Linked DNA regions of Arabidopsis thaliana. The protein of the gene in region 3 interacts with the protein of the main gene of each other region in a pairwise test. Each region holds a gene or a part of one and is shown on either strand. Other genes may lie near its edges.

Region 1 (4,957 bases), on a different chromosome or scaffold from region 3:
TTAACGCATCATTCATATAACCATTCCTATAATACCCACTAATCATCGTGTTCCACGAAATCACATCACGGTTCTTCATCACATCAAACACATCCCTCGCCATTTCAACCTTCCCAAAGTTCATATACATCGCTAACAACGCGTTCTGCACATACTTATCCCTACCAAACCAACTCCTCAAGATCCTCCCATGAACAACCAACCCCAATTTCATCGATTTCAATTCTCCAGCAGCTTTAGCAACAAAAGGGTATGTATAACCATCCGGAACACACTTAACCCCCTCACTAACCATCCTAATAAACACGCTAATCGCATCGTGATACAATCCTTCACGCACGTACATTCTAATAACAATGTTATAAGAAAGCAAAGAGCTTTGAGGCATTTCCTCGAACAGCTTCCGTGCATAAGTGATGTGACCACATAACGCATAAGTTACGGAGAGAGTCGAGAGAATGTGGCCGGAAACTCGACCGCCGGTGATGACGTGGCAGTGTAAAGCTTTGGTTTTTGAAATTGATTGAGTAGCTGCAAAGTGATTCAAGAGAGATTGGTATTGCTTGACGCTACTAAGTGCGTTGTTGGCTCTGCGCAAAACTTCACTCATTTAAAGAAAAAAACGACTGTTGAAAAATCTATTGGGTCGCAATTTTTTAAAAGCAACGACATATCTAACCAAACTGCGTGACGTTTGTATTTTACAGTGAGAAATGCTTGACGTTTTCTTATTTTACAGTAAGAACTGCGTGACGTTTGTATTTGACAGTGAGACTGCGTTGACGTTTTGTATTTCACAGTGAGAACTGCGTGACGTTTTCTTTCTTAACATTAGCTGATGGGTTTAACTTTAGGTTTCAGCTTTCACAGGGGACACTTGTGAGTGTTTGTTCTTGGTTTGTTCCTTTTGCCAATGTCTTCGTGAAGCTTTTTGCTTTCAGAGTCTATTCTTTTGCGCGTTGTCTTGTGTAGCTCTCCTTGAATTTTCTGCTTCTTATGATGCTTCTGTGTCTGGAAATATTCCTGTTTTTGAATACATAACTCACTCTTGTTCATATGGTCTTATGAGATGCAAATTCATACTATTCAGATAAGATCAGTACCAAGATTCAAGAGATGATGATACAAAAGATACATAGTATTGATCTATGAACAACAATCACCTCTCTTTTCCACACATTCTCAAGAGTTTTTTTTCTTTTTCGAAGCAACAAATTCGAGTAGTACTCGTCTGAAGAATGCAACTGGATGATCATCATCTTGCTGTTCTGTTGTCGATAGGTCTATTGTTTATATATCCACTTGAGGGATTCTACCACCAGCTTGGACAATCTGTTGCTCAAGCTGCAACAAAACAATGCAAGACTTATTCACGAAATTCGAAAGCAAAAAACCGACACAATTCACGTAGCTTTTCACTCACATTGAACAGATCTTGAAGCTTTGCTTTTAATGTCTTGTACTCAATATCCACTTGCTGCAAACATCTCACACACCTATAACAGAGATTGTTTCCCAAATTAGTTTCAACAATCAAATGAACATAGCAGAAATTTGAGATTCTCTTAAAGAAGAACCGGAAAACAAAAGCTTACCCTTCATAGTTCTGAGAGTCGCAACACTCCTTGAGGGTAACACAAAGACCTTTGACTCTCTTGGCACCAACACTTCATAGAACAACAAGAAAGGAGCTCTTCACTGAGACTAGATCCGAGATTAGACTAAAGGACCGAGACTATACAGATCAAATGTGACATACCTTGAGCTACTACCTTTGAGTTGATGAACACTAGAACCTACCAGTTTGAAATCTACATTTCCTGTCTGATCTCTGAGTATACATATGAACCAATCATTAAACCATATCTGCTAGCTTTTGATGATTAAACTCGTAAAAGAAAAGTAAACTTACAAAGCTCTAGCCATATTACTGATAAGCTTCTCACAGTCTTCAAAGAAGAGAGTAACAACCTCAGCCACAAAATCAGGACTACATTCATCTTGCAGCTTTTTCAATTCTGTGAATTGATCATCCAAAAACCCCTTTACAAAACCAACACAAAGAATCTCAGAAACCCATTTCACAAAATTCCCAATTCCAAATACAAGCTCCAAGTACCCTAAAAACAGTAGAGAGTAGTCATCCCTAAAAAGAAGACAACTTTGAAAAAGAGACAATAACCCATTTCACAGACCCTAAACCCAATTCCCAAAATCCCCAATTGCCATATACAAGCTTCAATAAGAACCCTAAAAACGTAACCACAAATTCAAAGTTTGCTTCACCAGAAAAGTAATCACTTTGAAAGGAGACGACTTTGAAAATGGAGACAATAACCCATTTCACAATCAGTAAACCTAACTCTTAAATCCCCAGTTTCCAATTTAAAAGCTTCAATAAGAACCCTAAAGACTGTGGAGAGCCATCTCTAAAAAGGAGACTTTAAAACTCAACCACAATTTCTAAGTTCTCTTCACAAGAAAGTTAATCACTTTTATCCTGAATCTCTAAGGAGAGATGCTAAAATTTACCTGGTGATAGAGACTAATGGTGAAATCACAAAATCGTCTCTGTAACTGAGCAATGAGTGTGTCCATGGCTCTCTCTACTCGTCGTGAAGGCAAAAGCAGAGAGAAGAAGAAGATGTAAAGTTTGTTTGAAATTGCAATCCCAATAAAGAGATTCTTACAGATCATCAAATTTGGACAGAAATAAATAAAGAAATAGTCACAAAGCTTTTCCATAAAGGGCAGAGAAAAAGAATTAGAATATGATTAGTTGTCAAAAAGACAACTTTTACAAGTGAGAAACATTGATTTAGGCCATAAAAAATGGAATCTCTAATTCATGATTGATACATTCATTCATTCACTCAAAGTTTTTAGCATTTTCCAATGTTAGGTATGTTTCTGTTATGTCAATCCACCAACACTAAGAATCTCTCACGCTGGAAGATTCTCTATAGACAAGTTCATTTGAAGCATTACCGTGTGGACAAGACTGAAGAACATTGGTTCTATTCTTTTGACATGAGCTTCAGAGAATCATATACTCTCATCAACTTGACCTCATGAAAACAACTTATAGTGGCAGATTTTGCTGTTTATGACAAACTAAAGGGTTTTTTGCACTAATATTAAGTTGTTTGGTAACATACTTATTAATATTATATCGTAGAGGCATTTAGAGTTCTTTCTTACCAAAATACTCTACCTTCTTTTTTTTTGCTATAACAGATTTTGATATTGGACTTGTTTTTTCGGCTGTTTAGATCTTTTTTTGTTTGAGTGAAATGTTTTATTTTTCAATTTGTTGGAAACAACTAATATGATCGCGAGTGTCATTTTGAGAGTTGCGGAGGCAGCGAGCTGGCTATATAGTAAGGTCAAAGGAGGTAAATCTGGCTTTATTCGGTAACACATCTAAGTTTAGACATCGAAAGCAAGAACTTTTGTTTAGAGGCATTCACATTTAAACTAGGAAACTTTGGGTGAGAAGTCCACACGTCTTGGCTATATATGAATTGCTAAGCTGAAGCAATATGAGGTGTTACATACCTCCTGCAAAATTAAGGTCTATATAATATAACTAGAGCCACCCCAAGCAAAATTAAACAATGGTTGTTAGCGCCAACAAATTTGTAAGGTTTATTTAGAAAATATTAGCATATATAAATGGTATAACTTATGGTGAAAGATTCATATATATGCTTAGGATAGTATATAATGATTAAGAAAACAAAGTGTAAAATTATAAGTGTTAAATCTTGGTGACCTGAGTTGAGTTGAGAATTGAGTTGTGAGATTAATACCAAAGAAAAAAGTGACCTGACTTGGATCTTAAAATCTTTCTCTTTTTTTGATGAGACGGATCTTAACATCTCTCTCGTTTATTGGTAAGGATCTTAACTACTCTCTTTAATTTAGTAAATATTAATTTAAAGAGATCTAAATGTCCCAAAATCTTAATAAAATTATAAAAAACTCCAAAAAAGAACATTCGGTCCGTGTGTAGCTATGTTCGGATTAAACGTTTTTAATAGGTAGGTATTGGATCACCCCATGCTTAGCAAATTTTTAAACACTAGATATATATATACAAATTTACTATCACAACACAAAAGATAAAGATCCACCTTTGGGAGGGCAGACCATGCACCACACCATTAATTAGAGATCTTGCATGCATATTGATCTCATAGATGCAACATTTGTGGAGAATGAAAATACCATCCCAAAAATTGAATATCATGGAGGAAAATAATTGCAACTTGTCCGTCAAGGATAAATGCCTCGTGTAGAAATCATCATAACACCACGTACAACTCCATGATATTGCTCTAGAACATATCTATTGTTCGTAAAGAGAGAGAATTAAGAATGTTCAACACTTAACATCTAGAAGAAATATATTCCATTAATTAATTTATAGGAATTTAATTTAGGTAAAGCAAGTCCATATCAAAACGCAAAAGAATTTAGAAAGTCCATCATTTGACAAACTAAAGAACAAACTATTGATGAAAAGTACTTAGCGAAGATAGCGGCAAATAGGGTGGTCTCCAAACAAAGTTGCATTCCTTTGAGAGCCAGGCTCGAACCTTAACATGGCTTCATCACACGCATAGTTCATCTTTCCACTTGTCCCATATCTACAATCCGGAAGAAGCAATCGCGATCGGAACCTTATTTCACCTTTTTCCTTGATATCCTTCATAATATCTTTTATAATCACACCCTCCATGTCTCCTTCAGAAGCAATCGATGAAACCCTAATCAGCTGAGCCCACCGTGGTATCAGACTGTAACTGATCAATCATGATAAGGAATAACACAAAAATATGTGAACAAATAAGCTGAATAAATTATTAAAAATTCTAAAATATAGACAATAGAATAGAAAAAAAGTTTAACCTCTCTATGGATGAAGTAGCAATGGTAACACCTCTGTATATTA
Region 2 (3,804 bases), on a different chromosome or scaffold from region 3:
TGTTTGTTATGTTCTCTGGTGTGTGTTTTGTTTTTTTTGGTATTACTTTCATATTTTTTTGGTCGAAGAGGACTTGTATTCGACAATGTCGCTTCAATTTTGTTGTTTCCTTAGAAACTAAATAAATATTGGTTTATATTGGAGTAAAATGTGTTTGTACTTTGTAGTTAATCGTTGAAAGTTTTGCCACTTATTGAGCTTTGTCTGCGAGAGTTGACTCGGAAGAATATTTGCACATTGTTCATAGAGAATCACATGATATCTCTTCTCTGGTGGATTAGGAACCAAACGCATCTTGTAAAAGTTTCCAGGTTGGAGATTCTGATTTCTGAGTGACACCTAACGATTCCATATTTAAAGCTTTATGTTTTTGTATGTCTCTCATTGCGATTGGTATTTTTTGTTTAAGTAAATATGCATAAATCCATTCGTAGAGGCATTCCTTACAGTACTAGTGACCACATATTAACCTTTTAGGTACGCACACCGAAGTTGGCTACATAACTTGGGTGAGTATTCCAATCTGTAATGTGAATAGTTTACCATATCACATATAGCTCTGATACCATAAAAAACTATATGTGAATAATATTAAAAATCTTATACACAAAATTTTCTTTTAAATGGTTAGTCTAATTGTAATTTAAAAATATCGAAATAATAAGTTGCAATTTTTTTTTTTTTTTTTTGGGTCTTTGAAAAGAAAATATAATGTCAAATACTTTAATTTTTCCAAGTAAATCGAAACATAAGATTGATATTTTTCTTTTATATAAGAAAATTAAATTAGATTTAATATTATTAAATGAGTGTTTCATATTATATTTTTCAGAAAAAGAGTTTTTATTAATTAACCAAATACCAATAATTTACTTAAAAACTTGTATTGAATCCAAATGTTTCCCAAAAAAAAAATATTTAATTGGGATTGACAAAAATAGCACCAACAAAATTTTTTCTTCCAAAAATAACAACTTTTTGAAAAATTTCACAAGTAGCTTTCAAAATTTTAATTAAATATTAAATATAAATAATTAATTTTATTTAAATAAATAAAAATAAAAATTTTCCGCTAAAAATTTTTCGTCAAATTTTCTGCCAAAACAATTCGGTAATAAATTTTCCCGCAAAAAAAATTTTCCGTCAAATTTTTCTTGTAAAAAAACTTGAGGAAGCTAACTACGACATTCGTGAGGATTTCACGGAATTCAGGAAAGATTTTACAAAAAAAATTTTCGTAAAATTCTTCCTGAATTTCGAAAAAGAAAAATTCGGGAATTCAGGAAAAATTCTACAAAATTCAGGAAGGGTTACAAAAGAAAAAAATTATAAATTTCGTGAAACCTTTCCTGAATTGCTTAAAATCTTTCCTATATTTTGTAAAAAAAATTCTGAATTTTTTTTTGTAGGTAAAATGTGGGCGGCGTAATTATTTTTGGTGGAAAAATTTTGACGGAAATTATTTTGTAGAAAAATATTGTTGAAAATTTTTGGTATGAATTTTTGTATTTTTTTAAATGTTAGTTGTAATAATTAAAAATTAAATAATTATTTGAGTGTTATTTATGTTCACAAAACTTTTGAATGGTATTTTTATCAAAAAAAACTTTAAAATTATGTTAATTATGAAAATTCTCTATTTAATTTTTTTCACCCAAATAAATAAATACATAAAAATGTCCAAATATTTGTGTGTTTCTCTTTTAATTATTGTTTCCCATTTAAAGTAAAAAAATCTGGTAGCAGCGTTACAATTCGCGAGAAAGACAAAACACAAGTTTCTTCTTCTTGGGATTGGCTATTTCCAGAAATCCAAGTCAATAATCAAAGTCCAAACAAAAAAATCCTCTCCCAATCTCCGCTTCACTCTTCTCATGGACGCTCTCATTGCTCAGCTTCAGAGACAATTTCGTGATTACACCATTTCTCTCTACCAACAGGTTTCAATTCCACAATTCTTCAAACCCAATTTCATCTCTTTGCTTAGCTAATTTAGCTCATATACACACTAGATTGACTCCTATATGCATAGATTCATGACAAAAGTGAAGAAAGATTGAATCTTTATGTAGATTTTTACAAGTTATGATTTTTAGGGATTTGAGTTGTGTAAAGGTTGGAACTTTAGATTCATGGGTTTGTGTTTTTTTTATGTGAAGGGGTTTTTGGATGATCAATTTACTGAGTTGAAAAAGCTACAAGATGATGGAAGTCCTGATTTTGTGTCTGAAGTGCTTTCACTTTTCTTTGAAGATTGTGTGAAGCTTATCAGTAACATGGCTAGAGCTTTGTAAGTTTTTGATATTCTCTCAGCTAGATCATCATTGCTTGTGTTGTCTTAAAGTGTGATTGTGGCTACTTCTATTTCAGGGACACGACAGGAACTGTAGATTTTAGTCAGGTAGGTGCTAGTGTGCATCAATTGAAGGGTAGTAGCTCAAGGTATGTATCATGTCTCGCTTTATATAAGTAGCAGAAGTTGTGTGTTGTTGATTGATGAAAAGCTTTGTGTTGTTTCTATGTAGTGTTGGTGCCAAGAGGGTCAAAACTTTGTGTGTTAGCTTCAAGGAATGTTGTGAAGCTAAGAACTACGAAGGGTAAGCGAGTTATGGTTTTCTCTTGGGACTCATTGGTTGAGTAATAATAGTCTCATGTTATGTTACAGGTGTGTGAGATGTTTGCAGCAAGTGGATATTGAGTACAAGGCGTTAAAGACAAAGCTTCAAGATATGTTCAATGTGAGTGTGAATAGAATCCATCTCTGTTTTTGGCTCTGCTTTTAATGAATCATTTTGGTTATGAGTAATGAACAAATCATTGACATTGTTGTTGTTGTTGTTGTTTCAGCTTGAGAAACAGATCATTCAAGCTGGTGGTATAGTTCCTCAAGTGGATATTAACTAAAGAGACTAGTCCATAAGAAGAAAAAAGATGATGACTTTCTTTCTTTAGTTTCTCTTCTAAATTATTTTGGATTTGGTGTTTGCTCAAAAACTCAATAAAATATGTGCAAAAAGAAACAAAAACAAGTGATGGTTGTTTATAAATCAGTAGTATGTATTGTTTGATCTCATCCGAGAAAATTGAAACCATTGGACTAATGAATGTGATGATAATATATATTGGTTTGCTTCTGAAAGGTTTGGTTTGAGTAAGATATAGTGATTACTAAGTAAGTCTTGACTAGTGGGTGCTTCTAAAAATTGTGTGTTTAGATCTTTTAGTTTCCCAAATTTGCCCATAATGTTTTCGTAATTATCTGAATTATTTGTCTCGAAGTTGACCTTTACTCAAATTAGTAAAAGTTTGGTAGTGACTTTCCAAATTTTTACAACCTGTCTCCTTATCAGAATATGAATATCGTAAACCCTAAAACCTAAATCTAAACCATTACCCATTCGATATCCGAAATGGACATTCTAAGAAAATATGGTAATTCTTTCAGGATAAATCACAAACCGCTTTCGACGAGATTACGGAGCATGTAGTTAATAAACGGGGAAAATGTCATTTAAATCATCACTTTACCATTTTCGTTGGTTTAAATCATGAACTTTGGATCTGGTGAATTAAATCTTTAATTTTATGTTGACTTTCAAATTAATCACAAATTCTTGTTGACTAAGCAAATTGAGACACAAATTCTTTTTTTCGATGTCGTCAATCGACCTTAAGACGAAATATTACTTTGAATTCGAAAAAGAAGAGAAATTCCAAAGAAGATGAGAGATTCTGAAGAAAAAGAGAGAAAAAATCAAAAATTTTGATTAGAAAGATTTCTAACGATGTGCCTTAATTGGCTTA
Region 3 (5,402 bases):
GATTACATGGCCCCACTGTGTCCACCGGTGCCACAAGTTGCTTATTTCATGAAGAACCCTAAAGATGCCAAAGGTGTTCTTGTGAGGATTGGCTTGGACCCACGAGATGTTAATGGCTTTTCAAATCATTTCCTTGATTGCTAATATATTAGCTGGTGATAATTAATTAATTAGTAGAATCTTTGTGGTAGTATACAGTATGATAATGGCTCCTCTATATGCATGCGTGTGCGCTAAAGACACTTTATTGTAATTGGGTTATGATGATGTATAATTTAATGACATCTCTCTGCTTTGTATTTGTTGTCGTTATCACTTTTATACTCATTTCGTGATAGGCTTTATTTTCTTCCAGAATTTCTGGATAAATAATTATAAAGTTATGTTTCTTTGTAGACTTTTTTCTTAAGGTCGCCAATGTTGGGTGGTTGACACCTAAGCCAGGTTATTGGGCATATGGGGCCGATTTAGGCTGGTAGTACAAATCATTGTACTACTTTGATTCTAACGTTATTTTGCACTTAGACACGAAGACTTTGACTTCCTCTTCAAAACACCTTTACATTTGTAGCAAAGAGGGTACTTTTTGAATTTTATTTATGGATTTGGATCTTCCTAAGTTGCTCAAACCAGTGGGGGAGCGGTAAACAATAGCTTACACTTTCATTACAGAGAAGAGAGAAGAGACAGAACCAAAAGATAATAATAATTGATTGTGTCTGAATAAAACAGGTTTCTCAAGCTGACAAAGAAAAGGGAAAATGGAGTTTCTCGTATGCATGTTCCGAGTGAGCTAAACCATCCAAATCCCAATCACCTTCCGAGAAATCAGATTGGCTCTGTTCCTGTTACAGTCAAAGTAACAAATCTTCAGAAATCTCCAAAAGAATAAGGTGCAAAAAGTAAATGGTTTTTATTGTATACAATACCTGTGTCATTAAGGAATTGACTATATCATCTAAGGAACCAGCATCAGAAGCCATCAAACCACTCTGAAGCTTCTGTTGTCCCATGAGTAAACCTTCGTTTGGATTGCTACTTCTAAACAGTTGAGCTTCTGTCACTGGACCTGAGTTGTTTGCAGGCTGCTGATTCATCTGTAATGGATAAAAGAAGTCTGTTTGTGCAGCATTTGTGGATCCAAAACCCGTGTTTCTGCAGAGAGATGCCGGATTTGTATCCAGGTTTGGGTTTACTAGCGGACTAGCTGAGTCGCAGAACGCATTCCATTCCAAGGTGTCAGGTTTTGAATGAACATCACTCTGTGGAATGTTGGTTGACAATGCAGCGTTTGACCAATGTTCTAGACGCTTGCTGATCTCGAAATGAGGAGAAAAACCCGGGTTTGAGGGTAAAGATGATGACTGCGGGTTACCCTCGAGAAGTAACAGATTACTGGGAGCTACCATTGGAGAGTTTTGTTGTGAAGTAAAGCTTGGAAAAGCCCTGTTGATGTTGTTGTTGATCTGAAGCTCTTCTAGCGGCAAACCCTGAAGTATGTTTCCTCCATCATTATGGTTACGAGGAAACGATGATGAGACTGGTTGGAACATTCCTGCTCCAAGGGAATTCAGACGACCAAGATTCCTATTTGAAGAGTAATGCCTCATCATTGTGGTTCCACCATGGAACTGACCGGATCCAACAGGTATTCCGCGGTGGTGGTGGTAGAAGCCACCAAGTCCTTTCTGAGAATTCATTTGCATAAAATGTGAGTCAATAGCCGCCCTGTTAGCTTGTTGAATGGCGTCATCAGACACCTTCTTCAGAGCAACGCGGAATTTCTGCAACCAAAAGACATTACAAATGTGTTTAATGGAATCATACATATATCAACACTAACAGATCAAATCTGAAGAATCATAGTCTAACTCTCACCTGAAGGTGGCTTGCAACATTCTCTCTAGTGAGTTTGTCAACATTCATCAGATCTAGAATCTTTTTTGGAACAGCTCCTGCATCATCAATACTTATAAATCAGAACATGATTCACAGCTAAATGAAAACTAGAGGTAGAGAGATCAAGAAACATTACTCTCAACGCCTAAATGATCAACAGCTGCTAGGAATTTATTGTGCAGCTCATGCGTCCAAAGAACACGAGGCTTCTTCTGCGCCGTTGGATCATCATTATCATTCCCTCTTTCTTCCTCTTCCTCCTCTTCATACTGTTCTTTACGTTTTCTGTTTGCTTTATCACAGTTTCCTGAACCATTACTCACATTGCTCTTATTCTTCTTAAGTTTGCTCTTTCTCACAACATGTTGCCATATGTTCTTAAGCTCCTCAATTCGAACCGGTTTAAGCAGATAATCACAGGCACCGTGCTTGACTCCTTTCATCACATACTTTGGATCGCTATGCGCAGATAACACTGCAAGAATTCAATCATCATGTTAAAGATTCAAACAGTCAAATCTGTCTAACGATCAAAACTTTCTCTAGGAACTATGAACTAGAACAAGGAGAGCTGCATACTTATGACAGGTAAGTCCATTTCAAGACCAACAAGCTCAAGCAGCTTGAAACCATCCATGTCTGGCATGTCGACATCGCTAATAACAAGATCAAACTTATTCTTGTTCTCCCTCAACAACTCCAATGCGGTCTGTGCCTGATTCGTTGTTGTAACTGCACATTACAATAATAATAATCACCCACAAAGTTTCAGTTTTGACTCATTCAAAAGTAGTAAAGCAAGAACCAATGGCTCTGTGACACATGGGGAGCAATCAAATATGTAATAATTCCCCAAAGTCTCAATTTTTACAGAACAAGAGACTGTTTCAAATCGAACGAACAAGAACCAATGACCTTTGAAACACAAGTGAAGCAACAAAATCTGAAGCATGGATTTTTAAAAGTAAAAAAATATGCAGAGAGTGAATCTAGCTAATATAGTCTTAATTGATTCTTCAAGCTCGTCTTCAAAAATATAAAAATCTAGAGAGGAATCGATTTATGGTGTTATGACAAGAAACGAATCTGATGTTAAATTTTGTAGCTTAACCAAATCCAAAATCTAGAAAACATCAAGAAATTTGGTATTAAAAAAAAACAAAGAGAGAGAGAGAGAAGGAACCAAACCGTGATATTGGCAGCGCTGAAGCAAAGTCTGGAGAATACGGAGACAAGTCTGGTCATCGTCAACAGCAAGAACTCTCATCCCAACCGGAAACTGGTCCAAGACTTCAATTTCTTGCTCCATAGTCATCGCCGTCAAAGATTATGAATTGAAGTAGAAGAACAAACAAAGTTCGGATTATTATTATTAGTAGAGAAAGAGACAAAAAGTTGTATGGCAGAGTAAAATTTTCTTCTTTGGCAAAAGAGAATCTAAGACTACATATGGTTTCTGAAAACTCTGTAATGATCTTCAAGACTGGCGAATTAACTCATTTATGGAATTCTCTTTTCAAATTTTAATCATTTCTGGTAAATTTTCTTTTTGACATAAGAAAAAAACAAAAAACATTTTCAGAGGAGAATCTCTGAGAAAATTCAGTGGAACCGATCGGTCATTTGAGCGTGATAATCACGCGCCACCTTTTTTAAATTAGTTTGGTTTCTTTTGACTGTGGGAATAATATTTTTTAGTTTAGTGATAATTAATTGAAAAGGAAAGAGGATCATAATATTTTTTTTTTTAAATGGATAAAAATGTGAAAGTGTTTATGTAAATGATTCTGCAGATCATGTAATTAATTTAGAGATATGTTTGTGATATTGTACCAAGTATTCAAGGCAGGAAAGAAGAATTTGAGTTATTACCATAACTTCAAAAAGAATTGAATACTTTCCTTAATCTGTGTCTTAAGGAATGGACAACTAAGTTGAGTATCTCATAAAACGGATTTACCATAAGAATTAGTGCAAATTATGGTATTATGATTTTAAAATATGTAAAAGAAAGAAAAAAAAAGACAGGCTTTAGTGAGAGCATGCATGGTGAAAGTTGGGAAGTGCGAGACACGCGTGACCGTGGTTCATGGCTTTTTCGCTTATCTCGTACAGGTTCTGAAAGATTTAGCAAAATTAAGTATCCCATAGTAACGACCAATAATGGCTAATGCCGATATTATTCAAACCTAAGACAAGACTATTTTTAACGTCAGAGAAAGACTTTTAAAATTGATGAAAAAAAAAAAAAAAAAAGACTTTTAAAATTTACACCATTACTTGGATAATTTTACACTCTTACCATATGAAATTAATTTTAGGAATATGTATAATCAAGAAACACATGTTACAATGGTTCACAATGTTTATAAAACTTTCAAGTCAACAAATTAAACTCATAGCACGATATTTATCACCGACCAAATGTATCGTACGCTCGAATTAAACTTTGAAGTCAACAAAGAAAACTGCTGTCACAAGTCTATTGTTACATGATATTAGTCATTGAATTTAGTTGTTAACTACAAATTATATATTATTTATTTATTTGATTGTCCGTTTAAATTTAGCAAAATACATTTATATAACTATGACAAGACAAAAAAAAGCCATAAAACAAAAGGCAAGAATTTCTTGAAGTTGGGTTCCATCCGCATCTTCAGCCTACAAGCTTGGTGGGTGCAAAATAAGATCCCAATGATTTTATTATAGTTTATGAATTAATTTTGTATGATTTCTTGGATTAACCACACAGCGTGTTCATTTCCGTGCCTCTCCTTTTCTTATAGAAAATAGCGTACTTCGGATCAATAATATGTTTTGGCTAGCTTATTAACATAAAAAAATAAAACATTATTACAATTATGCATCGTTTTTATTAATGTAAAATAGGTTATCAGTTAGTTTTGTTTTCCAAATTAGAATCATAAGGTTTAATAAAAGTATCACCAGCATAAGATTTACTAAAAAAAATGCAAGATCTAGAAAGAGATCCTAAATGACTTTTTGAATCTAGCCTAAGAACCTTCTACAAATCTACGATAATTTATTTAGTATATGAAGAAAATTAGAGAAAAGTTGTATTCTCATTGTCTTGTGACAAAGCCTTGATAAACCTAGAATAAAAGAATACAGAACTAGATTTTACGATTTTAAAAGAACATCAACATATGTTCGATGCAATGCATTGGAAAATAAAGGACAACTTTCTAATACAAATCATTATCATTAGCTCTTCCAATTTTATTTTATTTTGTGTGTGTGTATGTTAAATAGTTGCAGATGACATTAGAGAGATTAAAGAAATCAGTTTTCTAGAAGATCCATGTAAACATCAAATCTGTAAAGATTCTACTTCTTAATAAGTTATTGGAAGTCACTTGTCATTAGCTAATACCTACTGTCATTGGCTTATGGTCTCATATAGGATACACACATGTATATTAGTATATAGTATATATCTATTCACATTTAAATATGAGAAATTAACAGCAACACTTTGG

The links.
Region 1: the proteins of RR10 (region 3) and AHP3 interact in a two-hybrid assay, tested with the Arabidopsis thaliana proteins (one study listed by BioGRID).
Region 2: the proteins of RR10 (region 3) and AHP2 interact in binary tests that used the Arabidopsis thaliana proteins (3 or more experiments, as listed by UniProt).

Annotation. Positions count from the first base shown.
Region 1 is NC_003076.8:15,746,582-15,751,538, reverse strand, and holds AHP3 (histidine-containing phosphotransmitter 3), read right to left. Parts: upstream 2,809-4,957; 5' UTR 2,746-2,808; coding exon 2,533-2,745; intron 2,044-2,532; coding exon 1,913-2,043; intron 1,832-1,912; coding exon 1,760-1,831; intron 1,668-1,759; coding exon 1,596-1,667; intron 1,497-1,595; coding exon 1,424-1,496; intron 1,345-1,423; coding exon 1,291-1,344; 3' UTR 648-1,290; downstream 1-647. Other genes in the region: AT5G39350 (Tetratricopeptide repeat (TPR)-like superfamily protein), read right to left, coding at 1-610; AT5G39330 (transmembrane protein, putative (DUF1163)), read right to left, coding at 4,532-4,808, 4,915-4,957.
Region 2 is NC_003074.8:11,263,479-11,267,282, reverse strand, and holds AHP2 (histidine-containing phosphotransmitter 2), read left to right. Parts: upstream 1-1,720; 5' UTR 1,721-1,874; coding exon 1,875-1,940; intron 1,941-2,159; coding exon 2,160-2,290; intron 2,291-2,370; coding exon 2,371-2,442; intron 2,443-2,525; coding exon 2,526-2,597; coding exon of another isoform or gene 2,598-2,601; exon of another isoform or gene 2,602-2,652; intron 2,653-2,665; coding exon 2,666-2,738; intron 2,739-2,847; coding exon 2,848-2,904; 3' UTR 2,905-3,157; downstream 3,158-3,804. UniProt on the Arabidopsis thaliana protein: Functions as a two-component phosphorelay mediators between cytokinin sensor histidine kinases and response regulator (B-type ARRs). Plays an important role in propagating cytokinin signal transduction through the multistep His-to-Asp phosphorelay.
Region 3 is NC_003075.7:15,443,553-15,448,954, forward strand, and holds RR10 (response regulator 10), read right to left. Parts: upstream 3,491-5,402; 5' UTR 3,215-3,490; coding exon 3,088-3,214; intron 2,632-3,087; coding exon 2,479-2,631; intron 2,375-2,478; coding exon 2,036-2,374; intron 1,956-2,035; coding exon 1,879-1,955; intron 1,785-1,878; coding exon 930-1,784; intron 846-929; coding exon 738-845; 3' UTR 501-737; downstream 1-500. Other genes in the region: BAT1 (HXXXD-type acyl-transferase family protein), read left to right, coding at 1-144. UniProt on the Arabidopsis thaliana protein: Transcriptional activator that binds specifically to the DNA sequence 5'-[AG]GATT-3'. Functions as a response regulator involved in His-to-Asp phosphorelay signal transduction system.